2 linked regions of the Anolis sagrei genome follow. The protein of the gene in region 1 binds, or shares a complex with, the protein of each later gene. Links are inferred from orthologs where the notes say so. Each region holds a gene or a part of one and is shown on either strand. Other genes may lie near its edges. The genes, in order: BMPR2 and BMP10.

Evidence for each region.
Region 2: the proteins of BMPR2 (region 1) and BMP10 are in contact, whole or in part, in a crystal structure (PDB 7PPA), measured with the Homo sapiens proteins. The link is inferred for Anolis sagrei from reciprocal best matches to the Homo sapiens genes BMPR2 and BMP10. Residues at the interface, in NP_001195.2 of Homo sapiens: Asp38, Ser64, Tyr67, Leu69, Lys81, Cys84, Trp85, Ser86, Ile88, Gly89, Asp90, Pro91, Gln92, Glu93, Thr103, Thr104, Pro105, Pro106, Ile108, Tyr113, Phe115; in NP_055297.1 of Homo sapiens: Tyr329, Lys333, Asp338, Ser339, Trp340, Ile342, Ala343, Pro344, Pro345, Gly346, Tyr347, Glu348, Glu395, Pro396, Ile397, Ser398, Ile399, Leu400, Leu402, Val407, Tyr409, Phe411, Ala417.

What each region holds. Positions count from the first base shown.
Region 1 is NC_090021.1:165,345,260-165,356,611, reverse strand, and holds the start of BMPR2 (bone morphogenetic protein receptor type-2), read right to left. Parts: upstream 4,750-11,352; 5' UTR 3,676-4,749; coding exon 3,600-3,675; intron 1-3,599. UniProt on the Homo sapiens protein: On ligand binding, forms a receptor complex consisting of two type II and two type I transmembrane serine/threonine kinases.
Region 2 is NC_090027.1:20,127,534-20,138,521, reverse strand, and holds the start of BMP10 (bone morphogenetic protein 10), read left to right. Parts: upstream 1-6,455; 5' UTR 6,456-6,549; coding exon 6,550-6,844; intron 6,845-10,988. UniProt on the Homo sapiens protein: Required for maintaining the proliferative activity of embryonic cardiomyocytes by preventing premature activation of the negative cell cycle regulator CDKN1C/p57KIP and maintaining the required expression levels of cardiogenic factors such as MEF2C and NKX2-5.

The sequences.
Region 1 (11,352 bases):
TCTACTGTCTGAGTTTCCAAAAGATATTAGATAGGCAGATGCCAGAAATTTTTCTGATGTAAGAAGACAGACTAGATTGTTCTTGGGAACTTCCCAAGCCTGTGATTAATAATGGGTATGCTGTCAAACCGGAGGATAATTACCAACAACTATACAGAACACACAGTTGTTTTACTTCCTAAGAAGCACAAACCAAAGCAATTATCCTTAATCTTTTTAGCATGCTGTTTTTAGCATGCAAGTATTTCAACATTTTGGTAATTGGGTCATAGAAAAGGCATTTTAGCAGATTAAATCATGGAATAGTTTAATTATATTTGTTATATTCAATGTAAAAATCAAGAGCTAATTCTTCAAACGAAATAACTACAATAGAAAGCTCCAGTTTTAAATACCAATGACACAGCCAATGTTTACCTTACTAGTGTAAATATTCCATACATTTTAACTCACAATTTTCCAAGGAGACTTCTGAAAAATTTTAAAACCTTAAAAATTGTCAATCCCAACCAGAGCAAACATGTTAAATCAATGAGATTTATGTAAATGGTAACATATATTCAGCAACTGGACCTACAAGCAGCAACTAAATTTAGGTCTAAATATATAGCACACTGTTCTTCTGAAAAAAATTTTTTAGAATTATTCATTATTCATATTTATCCAATTTGATATCTGGGCAAGCGGATACCTCGGCAGCCACCTCTCCACCAAAGTCAACATCGACGCCGAAATACAACACCGCCTGAGCTCTGCAAGTGCAGCATTTTCCCGAATGAAGCAGAGAGTGTTTGAGGACCGGGACATCCGTAGGGATACCAAGGTGCTTGTCTATAAAGCTATTGTCCTCCCAACCCTGCTATATGCCTGTGAAACGTGGACTGTCTACAGACGTCACATGCAGCTCCTGGAATGATTCCATCAGCGCTGCCTCTGGAAAATCCTGCAAATCTCTTGGGAAGACAAGCGGACAAACGTCAGTGTGCTGGAAGAAGCAAAGACCACCAGCATTGAAGCGATGGTCCTCCAACATCAATTCCGCTGGGCCGGCCACGTTGTCCGGATGCCTGACCACCGTCTCCCAAAGCAGCTGCTCTACTCTGAACTTAAGAGCGGAAAATGGAACGTTGGTGGACAGGAAAAGAGATTTAAAGATGGGCTCAAAGTCAACCTTAAAAACTCTGGCATAGACACTGAGAACTGGGAAGCCCTGGCCCTTGAGCGCTCCAGCTGGAGGTCAGCTGTGACCAGCAGTGCTGCAGAATTCAAGGAGGCACGAGTGAAGGGTGAAAGAGAGAAACATGCCAGGAGGAAGGCACGTCAAGCCAACCCCAACCGGGACCGCCTTCCACCTGGAAACCAATGCCCTCACTGCGGAAGAAGATGCAGAGCAAGAATAGGGCTCCACAGCCACATACGGACCCACAGGGAAACCCATGATGGAAGACCATCTTACTCATCCAACGAGGGATCGCCTAAGTAAGTAAGTATCTGGGCAAAATAATATTAAAAGGATACTACACAGATTTCAAAAGTAAGTCCTCATTAACTTGTTCTATGTGACATTTGTTAACAATCACAAAAGATTCTGAAATCTTGAAGATCTACTTTAAAAATTAACACATCCTTAAGCCTATTTCTTCAATGCATTTAAAGTAATTTTCCACAGTATTTGCTTCTCTATTGAACAAATGCACTACAAATTCAAAAAAAAAAAGAGAGAGAGAGAACTAAAAGAAAGTAATATGGTGTTAGGCAGATGTTTTAGGTTTCTAACAGAGGAATACTCTACCTACTCAACAATAAGTTTCACTGACTTCAGTAGAACATACTCTCAAGTAAGCATGTATATTATTACAGCCTAAGCATTTGGATAAGTGCATGCAGGAAAGATAATTAAAAGCATAATGATGTCTCAGCACTTCAGAGAGTTCTTTTATTTCTATCTCCCAAGCTACAGTGTGCCACTATCAGGCTTCTCCACAGTACCAAAGCATGAACTATACTCCCATTCCTTGTCCATGTATGTAGATGTAGAACAAAGCTAGTAATGAACAAAACCAACAAGATTAACATCACTCAGTGTGCAAATATATTTCAGATATTGCATTGTGCACCAGAACTTATATTTATGTTCAGCTGACTATTTCATGGCAGATTTTGTCAAATAATTTTCTTTAAAATCCAGATGACATATATTGTCTCGCATGTGTTTAAAACATTGTATACAAAGAGTAATAATCATTTATTTATTTATTTACAACATTTATATCCCACCTTTCTCACCCTGAAGGCGACTCAGGGCAGCTTACATAATTGGCGTTATTCCATGCCCAAACAACAACAACAATTAAAAGCAATTAAACAAAAATTTAAAACAACATTAAACAACATATGTAAAGAATAGACGACAATCGTGCATACATCCAAAGCCAGATAATCAAATAATCATATTCATCAAGCCAGGATGAATTCCAACTGTATTGCACAGATAATTATGCTGGGTCAAATACTTGCTCTCAAAGAGGAGATTTCACTTGTTTGCGAAATGACAGGAGGGAAGGGGCCGATTGAATCCTACTAGGGAGGGAGTTCCACAGCCCAGGAGCCACCACTGTGAAGGCCCTGTCTCTCATCCCCACCGGTCGTGCCGATGAAGGTGGCAGAACTGAGAACAGGGCCTCCCCAGAAGATCATAACCTCAGTGATGGTTCATGGAGGGAAATGTGTTCGGATAGGTAAGGTGGGCCGAGGCCATTCAGGGCCTTATATGCCAAAGCCAGCACTTTGAATTGTGCTCGACAGCAAACCTGCAGCCAGTGAAGCTGGTGCAACAGGGGAGTTGTGTGCTCCATATATGCAGCTCCAGTTAGCAATCTGGCTGCCTCGCCTTGGATTAGTTGAAGCTTCCGAACAATCTTCAAAAACAACCCCATGTAAAGCGCGTTGCAGTAGTCTATACGAGATGTAACCTGCACATGGACCACCATGGCCAAGTCTGACTTCCCAAGGTACATACATAAAGAACTAGTAACCTCACTGTTGTGAATAAAGATTTGATACTCATGAAATTGAATATTTTTTCATTGTGTTATATTGTCATTCCACATCATAAGAGACCTTGAGACATATCTACAATGAGAAACATACAACAACAAAAATTGTTCACCCAAACCCTGCAAAATAGAAACCAGCACCTGGTAATTATTCCCATTTCCAAGAGAATGATGCAGACATTTTAAAGGGACAGATCTGAATATTGGCCAGCCGCACCCCCTTCTTTTGTAGCAGCCTAGCTGTTACCTCTAGAACCGGTTGAACCAATGTATTGAAATACACAACCATTCCTTTTTTTCCACTGGGGCCACATCCACACAGCTGAATAAAATCCCACATTATCTGCTCTGAACTGGGATATATGTCAGTGTGGACTCAGATATTCCAGTTCAAAGCAGATTTTTGTGGGTTATTCTGCCTTGATGTTCTGGGTTATATGTCTGTGCAGGAGGGCCCTGGAACGAAATGGGTTTTAAACCCGGGTAATCCGGTTTAATTCATGAGCAGATCATGCTGCCGGGTTACACCCACTGGCTACTTACCAGCCGCAGTGCTGAGGAGTAAGGTGGCACTGGCGAAGAGCAGCACCCGCCAAAGGTGCTGCAGCAAGGCAGTCATATTTGGAGGGACCCAGGGAAGGGGGCCTGATGGGCGCGATTTCCCTCGAAAACAAGGCCAACTGGGAGGAACCCTTCCGGCCGCCAGAGAGTCGACAACCTTCCTGGTTTACAATCCAGCCGGGAAGGGCAAAGGCGAGGTCTGGCCAGGAGCCGCCCGAGCTCTTCTGACTCCACGACGCGAATCTGCCTTCATCTTTCAGGGCTTCACGGGAGGGGGGTCCTCAAACCAGTATGGGGGATCCTCTCCCCAGATACAGGACCATCCCTGCGAGGCTGGAAAACCCAGATTAAGAATTCCCACGCGTCTTCTTCACAGGATCAATGCCCCGCTTTGGTTTCCAATGAATCATATCCAGAGGGGAATGAAGAGGATGGTTGAAGACTGTCAGGAGAAGCAGCTTCCCTCAAAGGGAGGTTGAAAAACACGAAGAACACCCCCCACCACCACACACAGGAAAATATATTACAAGGATATTAGTGTGTATCGTAGATATAGATATATAGATTCTCTCTATATATACATAGTATTACAAGGAGGAGAAAGAGAGGAAGGCGCCTCTGTGCTTCTTCTGTGAGGGAGGCAATGAGCAAATCAGAGCTGCCCTGTCCTTGGCTTCAACCAGCCCAAAAGAAAGCAAGGCCCATTTTTGGTCCTCCACAGAAAGGACCTCTTCAGTTGCAAGTCGGGGGAAAAAAGGCCTCCTTTTCTTCTTCTTCCCCTTCTTCCGCTCAGCTCAGCAGAGGCCTCTCCCTCACACAGGTCCCAACAGCGCCAGGCCGAGCCTTTCTTTCTTTCTTTCTTTCTTTCCTTCTCTCTCCCTCACAGTCCCGTCGCCTCCTTTCTTCACAGGCTCGCCTTCCTTTTTGGCCGTTTCTCGAGGCGAATAGTGGAGTCTCGCGCAGCCCCCCTCGCGCGCGCGCGCGCATGCGCCCTCCCTCCCCCACCGCGCGCGCTACCAAAGCTGCTTTTTTTTTCCTATTCCTTTTCAGACCAGACACAAAGGGGAGCCGCGGCGAAACTGGCAGTCTTTCTGTGCCCGGCCCGTGGGCGCCACGAAGCCCCGCCCCCTTCGCCGCCAGCGCCGCCGACGCCTCTCGCTTTGGCCACGCCCCCTTTCCTCCTCCCTCCTCGCGCGCCTCCTTCCCTTCCAACTCCTCCCTCTCCCCTTCCAGTTCCAGCCTAGAGTGGCGGCACGTAACGACGCTCTCCTCCCAGTTTTTTTTGTTTTCCGCGCCCCTCCCGCACCGCCATGTTGCGAAGAGTTCCATGTTTGCCAGATCGGCGGCCTGGAGGGAAAGTGCGTGGGAAGGGCAGGAGGAGATTTTGTTTTGCCTCCCCTTTGGGTTTTTTTTCCCCCATCTCCGTGAGAAGGCGCCTTCTTCAACCCTAGGATGTTAATTGGCTTGAGGGCCTGATTCACATCTCAAGATTGCTTTTTGTAAAAATCTCAAGCATTGTATATAAGATGTATCCATGCCAGGCATGGGCAAACTTGGGCCATCCCTCCAGGTGTTTTGGACTTCAACTCCCACAATTCCTAACAGCCAGGCATGGGCAAACTTGGGCCATCCCTCCAGGTGTTTTGGACTTCAACTCCCACAATTCCTAACAGCCAGGCATGGGCAAACTTGGGCCATCCCTCCAGGTGTTTTGGACTTCAACTCCCACAATTCCTAACCGCCAGGCATGGGCAAACTTGGGCCATCCCTCCAGGTGTTTTGGACTTCAACTCCCACAATTCCTAACCGCCAGGCATGGGCAAACTTGGGCCATCCCTCCAGGTGTTTTGGACTTCAACTCCCACAATTCCTAACAGCCAGGCATGGGCAAACTTGGGCCATCCCTCCAGGTGTTTTGGACTTCAACTCCCACAATTCCTAACCGCCAGGCATGGGCAAACTTGGGCCATCCCTCCAGGTGTTTTGGACTTCAACTCCCACAATTCCTAACCGCCAGGCATGGGCAAACTTGGGCCATCCCTCCAGGTGTTTTGGACTTCAACTCCCACAATTCCTAACAGCCAGGCATGGGCAAACTTGGGCCATCCCTCCAGGTGTTTTGGACTTCAACTCCCACAATTCCTAACAGCCAGGCATGGGCAAACTTGGGCCATCCCTCCAGGTGTTTTGGACTTCAACTCCCACAATTCCTAACAGCCAGGCATGGGCAAACTTGGGCCATCCCTCCAGGTGTTTTGGACTTCAACTCCCACAATTCCTAACAGCCAGGCATGGGCAAACTTGGGCCATCCCTCCAGGTGTTTTGGACTTCAACTCCCCCAATTCCTAACAGCCAGGCATGGGCAAACTTGGGCCATCCCTCCAGGTGTTTTGGACTTCAACTCCCCCAATTCCTAACAGCCAGGCATGGGCAAACTTGGGCCATCCCTCCAGGTGTTTTGGACTTCAACTCCCACAATTCCTAACAGCCAGGCATGGGCAAACTTGGGGCATCCCTCCAGGTGTTTTGGACTTCAACTCCCACAATTCCTAACAGCCAGGCATGGGCAAACTTGGGCCATCCCTCCAGGTGTTTTGGACTTCAACTCCCACAATTCCTAACAGCCAGGCATGGGCAAACTTGGGCCATCCCTCCAGGTGTTTTGGACTTCAACTCCCACAATTCCTAACAGCCAGGCATGGGCAAACTTGGGGCATCCCTCCAGGTGTTTTGGACTTCAACTCCCACAATTCCTAACAGCCAGGCATGGGCAAACTTGGGCCATCCCTCCAGGTGTTTTGGACTTCAACTCCCCCAATTCCTAACAGCCAGGCATGGGCAAACTTGGGCCATCCCTCCAGGTGTTTTGGACTTCAACTCCCCCAATTCCTAACAGCCAGGCATGGGCAAACTTGGGCCATCCCTCCAGGTGTTTTGGACTTCAACTCCCACAATTCCTAACAGCCAGGCATGGGCAAACTTGGGGCATCCCTCCAGGTGTTTTGGACTTCAACTCCCCCAATTCCTAACAGCCAGGCATGGGCAAACTTGGGCCATCCCTCCAGGTGTTTTGGACTTCAACTCCCCCAATTCCTAACAGCCAGGCATGGGCAAACTTGGGCCATCCCTCCAGGTGTTTTGGACTTCAACTCCCACAATTCCTAACAGCCAGGCATGGGCAAACTTGGGCCATCCCTCCAGGTGTTTTGGACTTCAACTCCCACAATTCCTAACAGCCAGGCATGGGCAAACTTGGGCCATCCCTCCAGGTGTTTTGGACTTCAACTCCCACAATTCCTAACAGCCAGGCATGGGCAAACTTGGGCCATCCCTCCAGGTGTTTTGGACTTCAACTCCCACAATTCCTAACAGCCAGGCATGGGCAAACTTGGGCCACCCCTCCAGGTGTTTTGGACTTCAACTCCCACAATTCCTAACAGCCAGGCATGGGCAAACTTGGGCCATCCCTCCAGGTGTTTTGGACTTCAACTCCCCCAATTCCTAACAGCCAGGCATGGGCAAACTTGGGCCATCCCTCCAGGTGTTTTGGACTTCAACTCCCCCAATTCCTAACAGCCAGGCATGGGCAAACTTGGGGCATCCCTCCAGGTGTTTTGGACTTCAATTCCCACAATTCCTAACAGCCAGGCATGGGCAAACTTGGGCCATCCCTCCAGGTGTTTTGGACTTCAACTCCCACAATTCCTAACAGCCAGGCATGGGCAAACTTGGGCCATCCCTCCAGGTGTTTTGGACTTCAACTCCCACAATTCCTAACAGCCAGGCATGGGCAAACTTGGGCCATCCCTCCAGGTGTTTTGGACTTCAACTCCCACAATTCCTAACAGCCAGGCATGGGCAAACTTGGGCCATCCCTCCAGGTGTTTTGGACTTCAACTCCCACAATTCCTAACAGCCAGGCATGGGCAAACTTGGGCCATCCCTCCAGGTGTTTTGGACTTCAACTCCCACAATTCCAAACAGCCGGTGGGAGTTGAAGTCCAAAACACCTGGAGGGATGGCCCAAGTTTGCCCATGCCTGATCTTAACACTGGAATTAATGCAGTTTTGCTGCTATTATTATTATTATTAAACTTTATTGATACCCCACCACCAGACATGTAGCGGAGGGAGGGGCTTGAGGGGCTTCAGCTCCCCCCCCCCCCAAATTCTCATGGTGGTCCGCGAGAAGGCCTTATTAATTCTATACTAATCCCAGCGTACCTGTCTGAACATATATCCCTCTACGTCCCACCTCGGAGTTTAAGATCTTCCGGGGGGGTCCTGCTCTCGGCCCCACTTTTATCACAAGTGAGACTGGTGGGGACGAGGGACAGGGCCTTCTCGGTGGTGGCCCCTCGCCTGTGGAATTCACTCCCCGGGGAAATTAGGTAATCAACATCCCTCCTCTCCTTCAGGAGGAAGTTAAAAACCTGGATTTGGGACCAGGCCTTCGGGTAAGCTGGCAGATGGACAAAAGACAATGACGACCAGAGTAGGAAAGGACAATGACAATGCTGGATGGATTATGGATTTATAAATCGGCAAACATTGACCACAAAATGATTTTATTGCTGTTATTGTATTGATTTGATTGTTTTAACTAGTAATAACTGTTGATGTTAAATTGTATATTGTATTTTGTGAATTGTTAGGCATCGAATTGTGCCTTTGGTAAGCCGCCCTGAGTCCCCCCTAGGGGGTTGAGAAGGGCGGGGTAGAAGCACTCCAAATAAATAAATAAATAAACGGTTCTGGCCCAGTTTACCTGTCTGAACAGATTCTCCCCTATGCACCATCAAGGTTGCTAAGATCTTCTGGAGGGGCCCTGCTCTCGGTCACACCACACTCGCAATCGCGTCTGGTGGGGACGAGAGAAAGGGCCTTCTCGGTGGTGGCCCCTTGGCTGTGGAACTCTCTCCCAATGGAGATTAGATCTGCCCCTTCCCTCCTGATCTTCAGAAAGCTAGTGAAATCCTGGCTCTGGGACATAGCATTCTCAGAACGATTGCGGAGTTCAGCAATAACCTAATAACTACTGACCACACTGGCGGATTGAGATGAACATGATTTTATCTTGGCGATTTGGCATTATGTATTTATTTTGTTTGTATTTAACTTATTGTGATGTTAGTATGTTTTTAGTTGTATTTGTGTATTGATTTTCTGCTGTTAGCTGGCCTGAGTCCCTCTGTGGAGGTTGAGAAGACTGGGGTTTACAAGTTTTAAATAAATAAATTACTGGTACATTATTTAAACTGTTGTGTTTATTCATATCATGATCTGATCACCATGCTCAATCTATCCCATATGCACGGGGGTATTGGGGTAACGATACAAAAGGTTTGCTAGGGTAGACCCTCTTTCACTCAGACTCAGCCCCCACCCCCCCAGGTTGCATAGGACCGTAAATAGAAAGGTTGAAGCAAGACCAATTGGGAGTCAAAAGTACCAACTACAGTGTCATATAAAATCCACATTGCCTCACCTACACTGCCATATAGAATCCAAATTATCTGCTTTGAACTGGATTATGAGTGTAGACTCATAATCTAGTTCAAAACAGATAATGTTGACTATTTGCTTTGTTAACCTGGATTATATAACAGTGTAGAAAGGGCCTAGGTTGGCTAGTATTGTATGCCTTTAGGTCATTTCTGATCTATGGTAACCCTACAGTCAATGTATCATAAGGTTTTCTTGCCAAGATTTGTTCAGAGGTGGTTTGCCTTTTCCTCCCACTGAAGCTGAGAGAATGTGATACACCCAAAGTCATCTATTGGATGTCCATGACTGAATGAGGCTTTGAACCCTGGTCTCCAGAGTCATAATCACACATCCAATCCACTACACTGGAGCTGTATACAATGATAGCAACTAAAGCTGAGAGTTACTGGCTTGAAGTCATTTGGTTAAATCACATTTAAGCAGAAGTTTTCCAGTTCAAACCATCAGCTGCGTTTTTACAACTAGCTGTGTGTTCACGGGGCTCCCATGTCCTTTATAGAAGTGTTTGCTGCATCCTAATGTATTATACAACCTATATATTGTAATGTATATACAGGGGAGTGTTGCCCTTTTAAAATAACATCTTCAAAGAAATAGGGTAAGTCCAATGCATTATGCAACCAACCTTAATATTCAGAGTTTCATTACGAAAATGAGCTAACAAGCCCATAGGGTGAGATTGCTCCAACAAATTATCCATTCGCTCCCTGCATTATGTTTGCAACCATGCTAAGCTGCCTGTGATTTATTTCATCATGTCAACATACTGGTATGCGTTGTTTGCAAAGATGCTTAATAGTTGGCATCTGCCAATCTTTTCTCCTTTCATCAAGTCACTTTGGAGCGTCTTCCAAAACCAGATTTTCCTTATCTCTGTTTCTGTTGCAGACTGTGAGTTTCTGCCTTCAGCTCTTTCCCCCAAATGTCTTTTCCTAGACCTTTAACTTCTTAAAAGTACCGGGAGATGCAGAGGGTGGAAGAGTCACCGGAAATCAACCCCTGATCCACCTCTGGGAGTATTATGAGCAGAATATTGCACTTGGGAACGTTCCCACCAATCTAATTAAAAACATAGTTTGCCTAAAGGCAGAAAAGAGAGTTGAAAAAGAATTCTGGATTAATATCTGTTCAGATACAAGACATAGCAAAGTAGTTATGTTGTCAATTAGCATCAAGTCAACGTTGACTTATAGTAACACTACAAATGTGAGACCTCCAAGCCTCCCTGTCATCAACAATGCTGTTTGGGTCTTGTAGACTCAGGGTTGATTGAGGGAGCATCTATACCGTAGAATGACTGCCATTTGAGATTATTTTAACTGCCATGACTCAAAGCAGTGGAACAAGGTTTTTCACCATCTCTTGCAAAGAGTGCAGGTGTCTCCCCAGATTACAACTCCTGTGATTCCATAACATGGAACTACAGTAATTCTACTGTGTAGTTGCAGATTGAGTCCGTCCATCTCAAGTGTGATCTTCTAACAGTATGCTCACCAGTAGGCTTATGTAATTTGGTTGGAGGGCGATCCGTTTTGGTATCCAAATTTTGTTGGGTTCCCAGATCTGTTTTCGGGAACTTCCTGAAAGTCGGCTAATGGAAAAAACTGTTTTTGGCTAAGCAGCCGAAAGATCCGGGAAGATCCAGCTCATTGGTGGGAATGGGTAAATTACGAATCTCCCATTTCCATTCCTGGGATGCATTCCTTTCTTCCTTTCAAACGGGCCTGGGTTTGAGGAACAGGGTTAAGGAAGCACCCCTTCTGGGACCCTTTTCTTCCTTCCTTTTGATGGAGCCTGGGTTTGAGGAATAGGGTGAAGGAAGCATGTGCTGCATGCTCCCAAATAGAGGGGAAGAAGTTGCTTCTGGCAAACATGGGCCATTTCGGCCAAAAAAACCTTGGTGGCTGATCCCTTACCATTACGACCAAGCTGAATTGGCCGAAGGGAAATGACCAAACCGAATCAATGCACAAGCCTACTCATTAGCTATATACACACACACATACATACACATCTATACATATACATATATATACATGTATTAATTGTTCGGAAACTAAAATTACTACAGAATTGATGTTTATATATCAGTGACTCATTTCTGAGCAGAAGACACCATATCCTTACCCAGCTCATCTTCTAAAGTATCCTTCTGGGACGCCTCGCGGGAATGGGTCTCGGGGGTACTGCCTTGCAGTGGCTCCGGTCCTTTCTCGAGGGTCGCTC
Region 2 (10,988 bases), on another chromosome or scaffold:
GTCTTCAGGAGGAGTGTAACCCCGTCCAGCACAGGTTGCCACCCTACACCCCGATCGATCGAGTGACTGACTTGGAGGACCTTTGTCTTATCTGGATTAGCTTCAGCTTGTTGGTTCTCATTCAGCTCATCACAGTAGCCAGACACTGGTCCAGGATCCGAGGGGCTTCCTTGGAGTTAGGTGGAAAGGAGTAGTAGAGTTGCATGTCATCTGCGTAGAGATGGGAGTGAACTCCAAAACTCTGGATGACCTCACCCAGCAGTTTCATGTAGATGTTGAAAAGTAAGTCTTTATATGTCAGCCAATGTTCGGATGGGAGTTCTCTTTTATGTCTCGCTTCAATTGGGGAAAGCCAGAGTGGCGTTTTTGAGTATATTCTATTTTTTAAATTTATTCCAAGTTTTTATTAAAGTGGATCTAAAAAAATGGTTTCTGAAGTTTTTTTCGATTTTAAACTTATCAAACCATAAATAGGAATGCCACCCTCTTCGTAAATTAAACCATTCATGTGCTAAAAGTCTTGTTTTCTTTAGTGTAGCCCAGTCTTTTACTCATTGTAGTGCTGCCGCTTCAAAATAAAGTTTTAAGTCTGGAATTATTATTATTATTATTATTATTGAATGCACCCCTAGTGTCATTGCATGTACAGTGTTTTAATTGGCATCGCATCATATGTTTTGCACGATTACAGCATTCTCTCTCTCTACACACACACACACACACACACACACACACACACACACACATACATAAAATCAAGGTGCAAGAAGCAGAGCAAACAGGGCTGGGTGCTCTTCCAACTGTGAGAAAGCAAACACCGGGATGAATGGCACCCGAGTGCAAACACAACGATGGTGCAAATGGAGGCCCACTCCCAAGATTGCATAGCATTGAGCCACAACATTGAAAGTGGCGTCAAACTGCATTAATCCTGCAGTGCAGGTGCCCCTTATGAGCATCCAAGGAGCGGTTGGGATGGGTGGCTGCATTGCAACACAATGGTATCTGGGAGTTTTGACTCTGGAAAGTTCACTGAGTTTTTCCTCCTTGGAATCCTCATTAAGGATAAGAATGTCGCTCTTGAAATAGACCCAGGAGTGAGAAAAGGGGCGAAAAAGGTCTTGGGTCGCCCGCCTTGCTTGTGTCAATGTCATGGGAGAGGCTCTCCCTTCCTTATCGGACACCAAAGGAATACCAAAGTTGCAAGGAAAGACGATGACAAGGGAGAGAATCCCAAAAATGTCCTGCAGGAACGTCCCCTCCGCATTGAGTTAGTTGCGCTTTTGGATAACAGAGCTTGAATCACACTATGCAACAACATTTGAAAAAATAAATTATGTTCCTGGTTTGACAGGGTTTTTCCTGTTTAATTGTGTGGCCCTTACTTTGAAAATAGTTGTTCTACTCCAGACACTTTGTTGTTTTTGTCGAATTAGTTGAGACTAGATGATGAGATTGCCATTGTGCTATCGCAGGATAATGTCCTTCTTCCAAGAACAAAGGCGTGGCCTTATAATAAACTTTACCCATGTTTTCATAACAGAATCAATTAGGAAATAATGACATTAATAACCCAGGAACAAACATCGTGTTGCATAGTGTTAGGTAAAGGTTTTCCCCTGACATTAAGTCCAGTCGTGTCTGACTCTGGGGGGTGGTGCTCATCCCCATTTCTAAGCCGAAGAGCTGGTATTGTCTGTAGACACCTCCAAGGTCATGTGGCCAGCATGACTGCATGGAGCATCGTTACCTTCCTGCCAGAGTGGTACCTATTGATCTGCTCACATTTGCATATTTTCAAAATTCTAGGTTGGCAGAAGCTGGGGCTAACAGCAGGAGCTCACGCTGCTCCCCAGATTCAAACCTGCGACCTTTCGGTCAACAAGCTCAGCAGCTCAGCACTTTAACCCACTGTGCATAGTGTTAATATATGGCTTTGGTATGGCATAGGGAAGGGTAAACACCCCTGTTGCCTGTATCTCTGTTCAGAAGATTTCACCCCACTTTCTATCCCTGTTATTATTGGATTTTGCAAAATGTGGCTTGTTGTGAAAACAAGTATTGGGGACAAAGCTTGAGCAGAGACCCTTTCCCCCCTGATACCAACTCTCCCAGGAGTGGATTTCCCTTCCTTTCAAGAGGAAGATTCCTCTCACTTCCTATTGTCTCAACCTCCTAAATAGGAGTTGGATGTGTTTATAACTATATCTCTATATATATCATAGATTTGGAAGGGGTCCCCAAAGGCCATCCAACCCAGTTCTCTTCTTAACTGTGAGTCATTTGTAAATTGGATGTCTGTAACTTGGGAACTGCATATATATAGGTCTCTATATGTATATATTAGGCTTGGGCAATCCATGGTTCTAAATGGTTCTAAAGTACTTACAAAACTAAAGTTCTGGTGGTGAAAATTTCAGAACTCTAACAAAACTTTCAAAATTTAATTATTATTTCATTATTGGTGATTTTAATGACAGAACCAATTAGGAACTGCCATTTATTATGAAATTTTGAGAGTTTTGTTAGAGTTCTGAAATTTTCACCACCAGAACTTTAGTCTTGTAAGTACTTTAGAACCATTTAGAACCATGGATTGCCCAAGCCTAGTATATATATGTGAGATCTAGTATAATGGCGCTCCTTGCAGTCATGCTGGCTACATGACCTTGGAGGTGTTTATGGACAACGCCGGCTCTTCGGCTTAGAAATAGAGATGAGCACCACACCCCAGAGTCGGACACGACTGGACTGAATGTCAGGGGAAAACCTTTACCTTTACCTATAGTATCCTAGATGTGGAAGGGCCCCCCAAAAACCATCCAGGCCACCCCTGTGCTTAACTGTAATTTAGAAGCTGGATGTTTGTAACTCCTCCTCCTCAATATGACATCCTTTCAGATATTTAAACATGGATCTCATGTTCCTTCTGAACCTTCTTTCCTCCAAGAAAAACATCCCAAACTTCTTCAGCCATTTTTCAGAGGGATTATTGGTTTCCAGAACTTTGAACTTTTGGGGAGCCCTTCTCTGGACACCTTCTTTCTTGTACATCTCCTTAGAATCATAGAATCCTAGTGTTGGAAGAGACTTCCAAGGGCCATCTAGTCCAACCCCCTTCTTTCTGTCCTGCAGGAAAAGCACAAAGTATCCCCGATAGACTGCCACCCAGCCTCTGTTTAAAAGCTTCCAAGGAATGAGCTTACACCAGATTCTGAGGCAGAAAGTTCAACTGCTGAACAGCTTGTACGTTCAGAAAGTTCTTACTCATGTTCAGGTAGAATCTCCTTCATTTGTCATTTGAACCCATGGCTCCGCGTCCTAGTCTCCAGGGCAGCAGAAATGAAGACTGTTTCCTCTTCCTTATGACAGCCTTTCACATATTTAGACATGGCTGTCATTCCTCCTCCACTCAACCTTCTCTTCTGCAGGATAAACAAACCCAGCTCTTTAAGATGCTCCTCAGACGGATTATTAATGGTCTCCAGACCTTTGATCCTTTGGGTCTCCCTCTTCCTCTGGACATCTTCCAGCTTGGAATCATGGTGTCCAGAATTGGACACAGTATTCCAGGTGAAGCCTGACCAAAGCCAAATAGAGAGGCACCAGGACTTCCCTCGATCTAGACCAGTGGTTCTCAACCTTCCTAATGCCACGACCCCTGAATACAGTTCCTCATGTTGTGGTGACCCCCAACCATAACATTATTTTCGTTGCTACCCCATAACTGTAATTTTGCTACTGTTATGAATCGGCATGCAAATATCTGATATGCAGCATGTATTTTCATTCACTGCACCAAATATGCCACAAATACCCGATATGCCCAAATTTGAATACTGGTGGGGCTGATTTTGTCATTTGGGAGTTGTAATTACTGAGATTTATAGTTCATCTACAATCAAAGAGCATTCTGAATTCCGCCAATGATGACATTGAACCAAACTTGGCACACAGAATTCCCATGACCAACGGAAAATACTGGAAGGATTTGATGGGCACTGGCCTTGAGTTTGGGAGTTGTAGTTCACCTACCTCCAGAAACTCAAACAATGATGGATCTGGACCTAACTTGGCATGAATATTCAATATGCCCAAATGTAAACACTAGTGGAGTTTGGGGAAAATAGACCTTGACATTTGGGAGTTGGAGTTGTTGGGATTTATAGTTCACTTACAATCACATAGCATTCTGAACTCCGCCAATGATGAAATTGAACCAAACTTGGCACACAGAACTCCCATGACCAACAGAAAATACTGTTTTCTGATGGTCTTTGGCGACCCCTCTGACACCCCCTCGCGACCCCCACAGGGGTCCCGACCCCCAGGTTGAGAACCACTGATCTAGACACTAGATTGGCCTTTGAGCTGCTGCATCATACTCGTGGCTCATGTTCTATTTGCTTCCCACGAAGACTCCAAGATCTTTTTCACATGGACTGTTGTTGAGCCAGGCATCTCTCATTCTGTATCTTTGCATTTCATTGTTCCCTGCCTAAGTGTAGCATCTTACATTGCTCCTTGTTGACATTCATTGTGTTTCTTTTGGTCAATCAGCTCTCATCTGTTGAGGTCCTTTTGCATCCTGACTCTGTCCTCTGGAGTATTCGCTCTCCCTCCTAATTTAGTCCCAGCTGCTAGCTTGATACGAAGCAGGCCCTCTAAACCTTCATCCAAGCCATTAATAAAGACGTTGAAGAATATTGGGCCCAGGACCAAACTCTCAGGCACTCCTTCTTCAATTGCTTTGTCCAGAATGGGACATAGGGCTGTCATTCCAGGTGAGGAGATCTTCCCAAAGCAGAAGAGAGAGACTAGGAGTTTCCTCGATGTGGATTATTTATTTATCGTGTCATCCGCAACCAGAACATTGTATTACATTTCTAACAGAACAAAACAAACAAACAAACAGATGAAAAAAACCCCCCACAAATTTTGCAAACTTGGTAGCTGATTAAATGTCCTTTGACCAGTATCTGACCACTTGGAGTGCCTCTGGCGTTGCCACAAGAAGGTCCTCCATTGTGCATGTGGCAGGGCTCAGGGTGCATTGCAGCAGGTGGTCAGTGGTTTGCTCTTCTCCACACTTGCACGTCGTGAATTCAACTTTGTAGCCCCATTTCTTAATATTGGCTCTGCATCTTGTGGTGCCAGAGCACAGTCTGTTCAGCGCCTTCCAAGTCGCCCAGTCTTCTGTGTGCCCAGGGGGGAGTCTCTCATCTGGTATCACCCACGGATTGAGGTGCTGGGTTTGGGCCTGCCACTTTTGGACTCTCGCTTGCGGAGGTGTTCCAGCGAGTGTCTCTGTAGATCTAAGAAAACTATTTCTTGATTTAAGTCATTGACGTGCTGGCTGATACCCAAACAAGGGATGAGCTGGAGATGTCTCTGCCTTGGTCCTTTCACTATCGGCTGCAACTTCCTGGCGGATGTCAGGTGGTGCAATACCGGCTAAGCAGTGTAATTTCTCCAGTGGTGTAGGGCACAGACACCCTGTGATAATGCGGCATGTCTCATTAAGAGCCACATCCACTGTTTTAGTGTGGTGAGATGTGTTCCACACTGGGCATGCATACTCAGCAGCAGAGTAGCATAGCGCAAGGGCAGATGTCTTCACTGTATCTGGTTGTGATCCCCAGGTTGTGCCAGTCAGCTTTCGTATGATATTGTTTCTAGCATCCACTTTTTGTTTGATGTTCAGGCAGTGATTCTTGTAGGTCAGAGAACGGTCCAGAGTGACTCCCAGGTATTTAGGTGCGCTGCAATGCTCCAGTGGGATTCAATGCAACGCTTCCAGTGGGACATGAGAGAAGCCTCCTCGCAGGATTGCAAGACATCCGGGCGTCCCCTGGGCAATGTCTTCATAGACGGCTGATTCTCTCGATCCAGAAGCAACCAGAGAAACCAGAGATGTGGATGCTAGGCTCCTATGGATGCAGCCTGGAATGGCATTGGTCATTGCCACATCACACTGTTGACTCATGCTCAGGCTGTGGTCTCCAAAGATCCTTAGATTCCTTTCACACGGAAGGTTCTTCAGCCAGGTGTCCCTCATCCTATATCTATGCAGAACCGGATGCAGGATTGAGCCGTTGCCATTTGAGCACATTAATTCTCCAGTGCAGATGCCCCCTTAGAAACAGTCCTCAGAGAAAACAGAAGTAGAGGAAGGGAGGGTATGTCCTTCCGCACAAGACGAGGGGAAAAAGTTGGCCAACTCTTCCATCGCATCCCAACGAGGAATGTTTACACCATGCTCATTAAGAGAGCGGCGCATTTGTGAGATAGAGACCGAAATCTGGTGGACAGCTTACACTGGGGGAGATAAGGCAGCGAAGGCGACCATTGGAGACCAGATCCAATTACTGAGACCTGGACGAAAGGGGGTGGGATTGGAAGGAGAGGCGTTCGCATGACAAGCGCCTGGGCAAGAGCTTCCAGACTTGTCCACGGCTAGTGACAAGCACCATATATATCTCTATCTCTATCCATTGTGCTGGGACGACCATATATATCTCTCTCTATCTGTTGTGCTGGGACGCAACCATGAGAAAGGCAACTATGAGGCTGGTGGCCTTGCAAATGTGGGCCGTCATGCTGCTCCGCATTGGAGACGGAGGTCCCATCCGAGACCTGGATGCGCCGGAGGATGTGGCCTTCTTTGACGAGCAGGACCCCATTCTGCAGAACCTATTGAAGGCCCTCAACATCTCTGAGGTCCCTGTCCAAGAACCGGCCAAAGTGGAGCCTCCCGAATACATGCTGGAGCTCTTCCACCGCTTCACCCTTGACAAGAGTTCTATGCCCTCCGCCAACATTGTCCGCAGCTTCAAGAACGAAGGTAAGGCCCGGGACGCTCTCCTTGAGACCTTAGAGATTGCTTGGCCGGACATTGCCTTACTTTTGGGAGCTTCTTGGGTGGAAAGAAGGAAAATGCATGAATGGCTTAGAAGAAGGTTTAAAGAGCATGCTTCTTATCAAGTTTGGAACCAAATTGGGATGGAGAGCTCATATTGCAGAAGACAGGGTCTGGATGCAAAATGACCTTCACACGACTATTGTTCCTGGGTTACCAGTGTCATTTCCTAATTGGTTCCATCATCAAAACATGGAAATGCAGCACATTATATATTATTACTAGCTATCCCCTGCCACACGTTGTTGTGGTCCAGTCTAGTGATCTGAAAAATAAAGTAATGGTTTCTAATATATGTAATTCCTTTATACTTGTGAGTAAACTATTCCTTGTTGTTTCTTTGTCAGTGTTGATGTGGAGATTGTCTGGTTTGCCTACTCTGGAACATGCAACATATAATTATCCTTCTTTAGGGGCCCCTTTCAAATCTATGATACTATATCTGTGTTTGTGTGTATGTGTGTGAATCATCATATATCTATCTTTATCTATGGCTGGATAGCTCTTTATCAGGAGGGCTTTGATTACGTTTTCTTGCCCTAGTGAAAGGAGTTGGACTGGATGGTCTTAAGTATGGTGGTTCTGTGTGGGACTTTTGCCCCAATTCTGTCGTTGGTGGGGTTCAGCATGCTCTTTGATTGTAGGTGAACTATAAATCCCAGTAACTAGAACTCCCAAATGTCAGGGTCTATTTCCCCCAAACTCCATCTGTATTCATATTTGGGCATATGGAATATTCGTGCCAAGTTTGGTCCAGATCTATCATTGTTTGAGTCCAAAGTGTTCTCTGGATGTAGGTAAACTACAACTCCCAAGCTCAAGGTCAATGCTCACCAAACCCTTCTAGTATTTTCTGTTGGTCAGGGGAGTTCTGTGTCCCAAGATTGGTTCAATTCCATCATTGGTGGAGTTCAGAAAGCTCTATGATTGTAGGTGAACTATAACTATAAATCCCAGCAACTACAACTCCGAAATGACAAAATCATTTTTTTAGTGAAGGACATATATTGAGTTGTTAGATGTCTTGTGTCCAAATTTGGTGTCAATTTGTCCAAACATTAAATTTTTATTTATATAGATTGTATATTTTTATTAATAATAATACTATATAATATCGTATATTATTATTGTATAATAATAATAATAACACTATGTAAGACGACAATCTAATTTGTTAGATCATAAAACATGGGAAATATTTACTAAACTGCAAAAAGTTTGTGCGGGAGAGAGATCGTCCTGCAGCACATTTCACCCTAGTTTTTCAATGAATATTTCATCGAGTCTAAGCCAATTAGTCTGTGGCAAAACAAAGTTTCTGGAGTAGAACAACTACTTTCAAAGAAATTGATTATATGGCAGTATAGACTCATAGAATCAAAGAGTTGGAAGAGACCTCATGGACCATCCAGTCCAACCCCCTGCCAAGAAGCAGGAATATTGCATTCAAATCACCCCTGACAGATGGTCATCCAGCCTCTGTTTAAAAGCTTCCAAAGAAGGAGCCTCCACCACACTCTGGGGCAGAGAGTTCCACTGCTGAATGGCTCTCACAGTCAGGAAATTCTTCCTCGTGTTCAGATGGAATCTCCTCTCTTGTAATTTGAAGCCATTGTTCCGCGTCCTAGTCTCCGAGGAAGCAGAAAACAAGCTTGCTCCATCCTCCCTGTGGCTTCCTCTCACATATTTATACATGGCTATCATATCTCCTCTCACCCTTCTCTTCTTCAGGCTAAACATGCCCAGTTCCTTAAGCCGCTCCTCATAGGGCTTGTTCTCCAGACCCTTGAACATTTTAGTTGCCCTCCTCTGGACACATTCCAGCTTGTCAATATCTCTCTTGAATTGAGGTGCCCAAAATTGGACACAATATTCCAGGTGTGGTCTAACCAAAGCGGAATAGAGGGGTAGCATGACTTCCCTAGATCTAGACACTATGCTCCTGTTGATGCAGGCCAAAATCCCACTGGCTTTTTTTGGCGCCACATCACATTGTTGGCTCATGTTTAACTTGTTGTCCACGAGGACTCCGAGATCTTTTTCACACGTACTGCTCTCAAGCCAGGCATTGTCCCCCATTCTGTATCTTTGCATTTTGTTTTTCCTACCAAAGTGGAGTATCTTGCATTTGTCACTGCCGAACTTCATTTTGTTAGTTTTGACCCATCTCTCCAATCTGTCAAGATCATTTTGAATCCTGCTCCTGTCCTCTGGAGTATTGGCTATCCCTCCCAATTTGGTGTCATCTGCAAACTTGATGATCATGCCTTCTATAGACTCATTGATATGAGTATAGACTCATATCAATCCATTTCGAAGCAGGTAATATGGATTATCTGCTTTGATAATCTGAATTACATGGCAGTGTATAAAGCGGTCTTAGTGGAGAACCAGTTGAACATGAGCCAGCAATGGGATGCAGCAGCTCCAAAAGTCAATGGGATTTTGGGTTGCATCCAAGGAGTCTCTTCTATCTCACAGAAGAATAGATTTGGAAGAGACCCCCATGGACCATCTAGTCTGACTTTCTTCCATGCAGGGAAAGGACAATCAATTTGTAATTTTATTATTATACTAGCCGTTCCCCGCCACGCGTTGCTGTGGCCCACATAGGGGTTCTGTGTGGGAGGTTTGGCCCAATTCAATCGTTGGTGGGGTTCAGAATGCTCTGTGATTGTAGGTGAACTATAAATCCCAGCAACTACAACTCCCAAATGTCAAGATTCTATGTTCCCCAAACTCTAATAGTGTTCACATTTGGGCATATTGAGTATTCGTGTAGAGTTTGGTCCAGATCCATCATTTTTTGAGTCTCTGGATGTAGGTGAACTACAACTCCAAAACCAAAGGACACTGCCCACCAAACCCTTCCAGTATTTTCTGTTGGTCATGGGAGAACTGTGTGCCAAGTTTGGTTCAATTCCATCATTGGTGAGGTTCAGAATGCTCTGTGATTGTAGGTGAACAATAAATCCCAACAACTACAACTCCCAAATGTCAAGATTCTATTTTCCCCAAACTCTAACAGTGTTCACATTTGGGTATATTGAGTATTCGTGTAGAGTTTAATCCAGATCCATTATTGTTTGAGTCCACAGTGTTCTCTGGATGTAGGTGAACTACAACTCTCAAACTCAAGGTCAATGCTCACCAAAACCCTTCCAGTATTTTCTGTTGGTCATGGGAGTTCTGTGTACCATGTTTGGTTCAATTCCATCATTGATGGAGTTCAGAATGCTCTTTGATTGTAGGTGAACTATAAATTCCAGCAACTACAACTCCCAAATGACAAAATTATAATTTTTTGAGTGATGGTCACTCCTTGTGTTGTGAGACATTTTGTTGCCAAATTTGGTGTGATTTCATTCATTGGTTCTTTTGTTTTTAAGGTACTCATTATGCACAGAGCATTTATATATATATATATATATATATATATATATATATATATATATATAGTATTATGTTTATATTTATTATATTGTACTAGCCATTCCCTGCTACACATTGCCGTGGCCCAGTTTGGTGCTCTGGAAAATAAAGTAATGAGAAAGTGTTGGTTTCTAATATATGTATTTTTTATGATTGTGGGTAAACGGTATTTTTTGTTGTTTCTCGGTCAGTGTTGATGTGGAGATTGTCTGGTTTGCCTACTCTGGAACGTGCAACGTATCATTGTCCTTCTTCAGGGGTCCGGGCGTCCCCTGGGCAACGTCCTTACAGACGGCCAATTCTCTCACACCAGAAACGACTTGCAGTTTCTCAAGTTGCTCCTGACATGAAAAAAAGGAGGGGTCCCTTTCCAATCTATGATACTATATCTGTCATATACATATATGTGTGTGTGTGTGAATCATATCTATCTATGGCTGGATGGCTCTTTGTCAGGAAGGCTTTGATGATGATTTCTTTCCCTGGTGAAGGAAGTTGGACTGGATGGCATTAAGGCAGCATTTCTCTACCTGGGGGTTGGGTGCCCGGGTGGTCACCATGGGGTGTCACAGTATTTTCTGTTGGTTAGGGGAGTTCCGTTTGGGAAGTTTGCCCCAATTCTATTGTTCAGAATGCT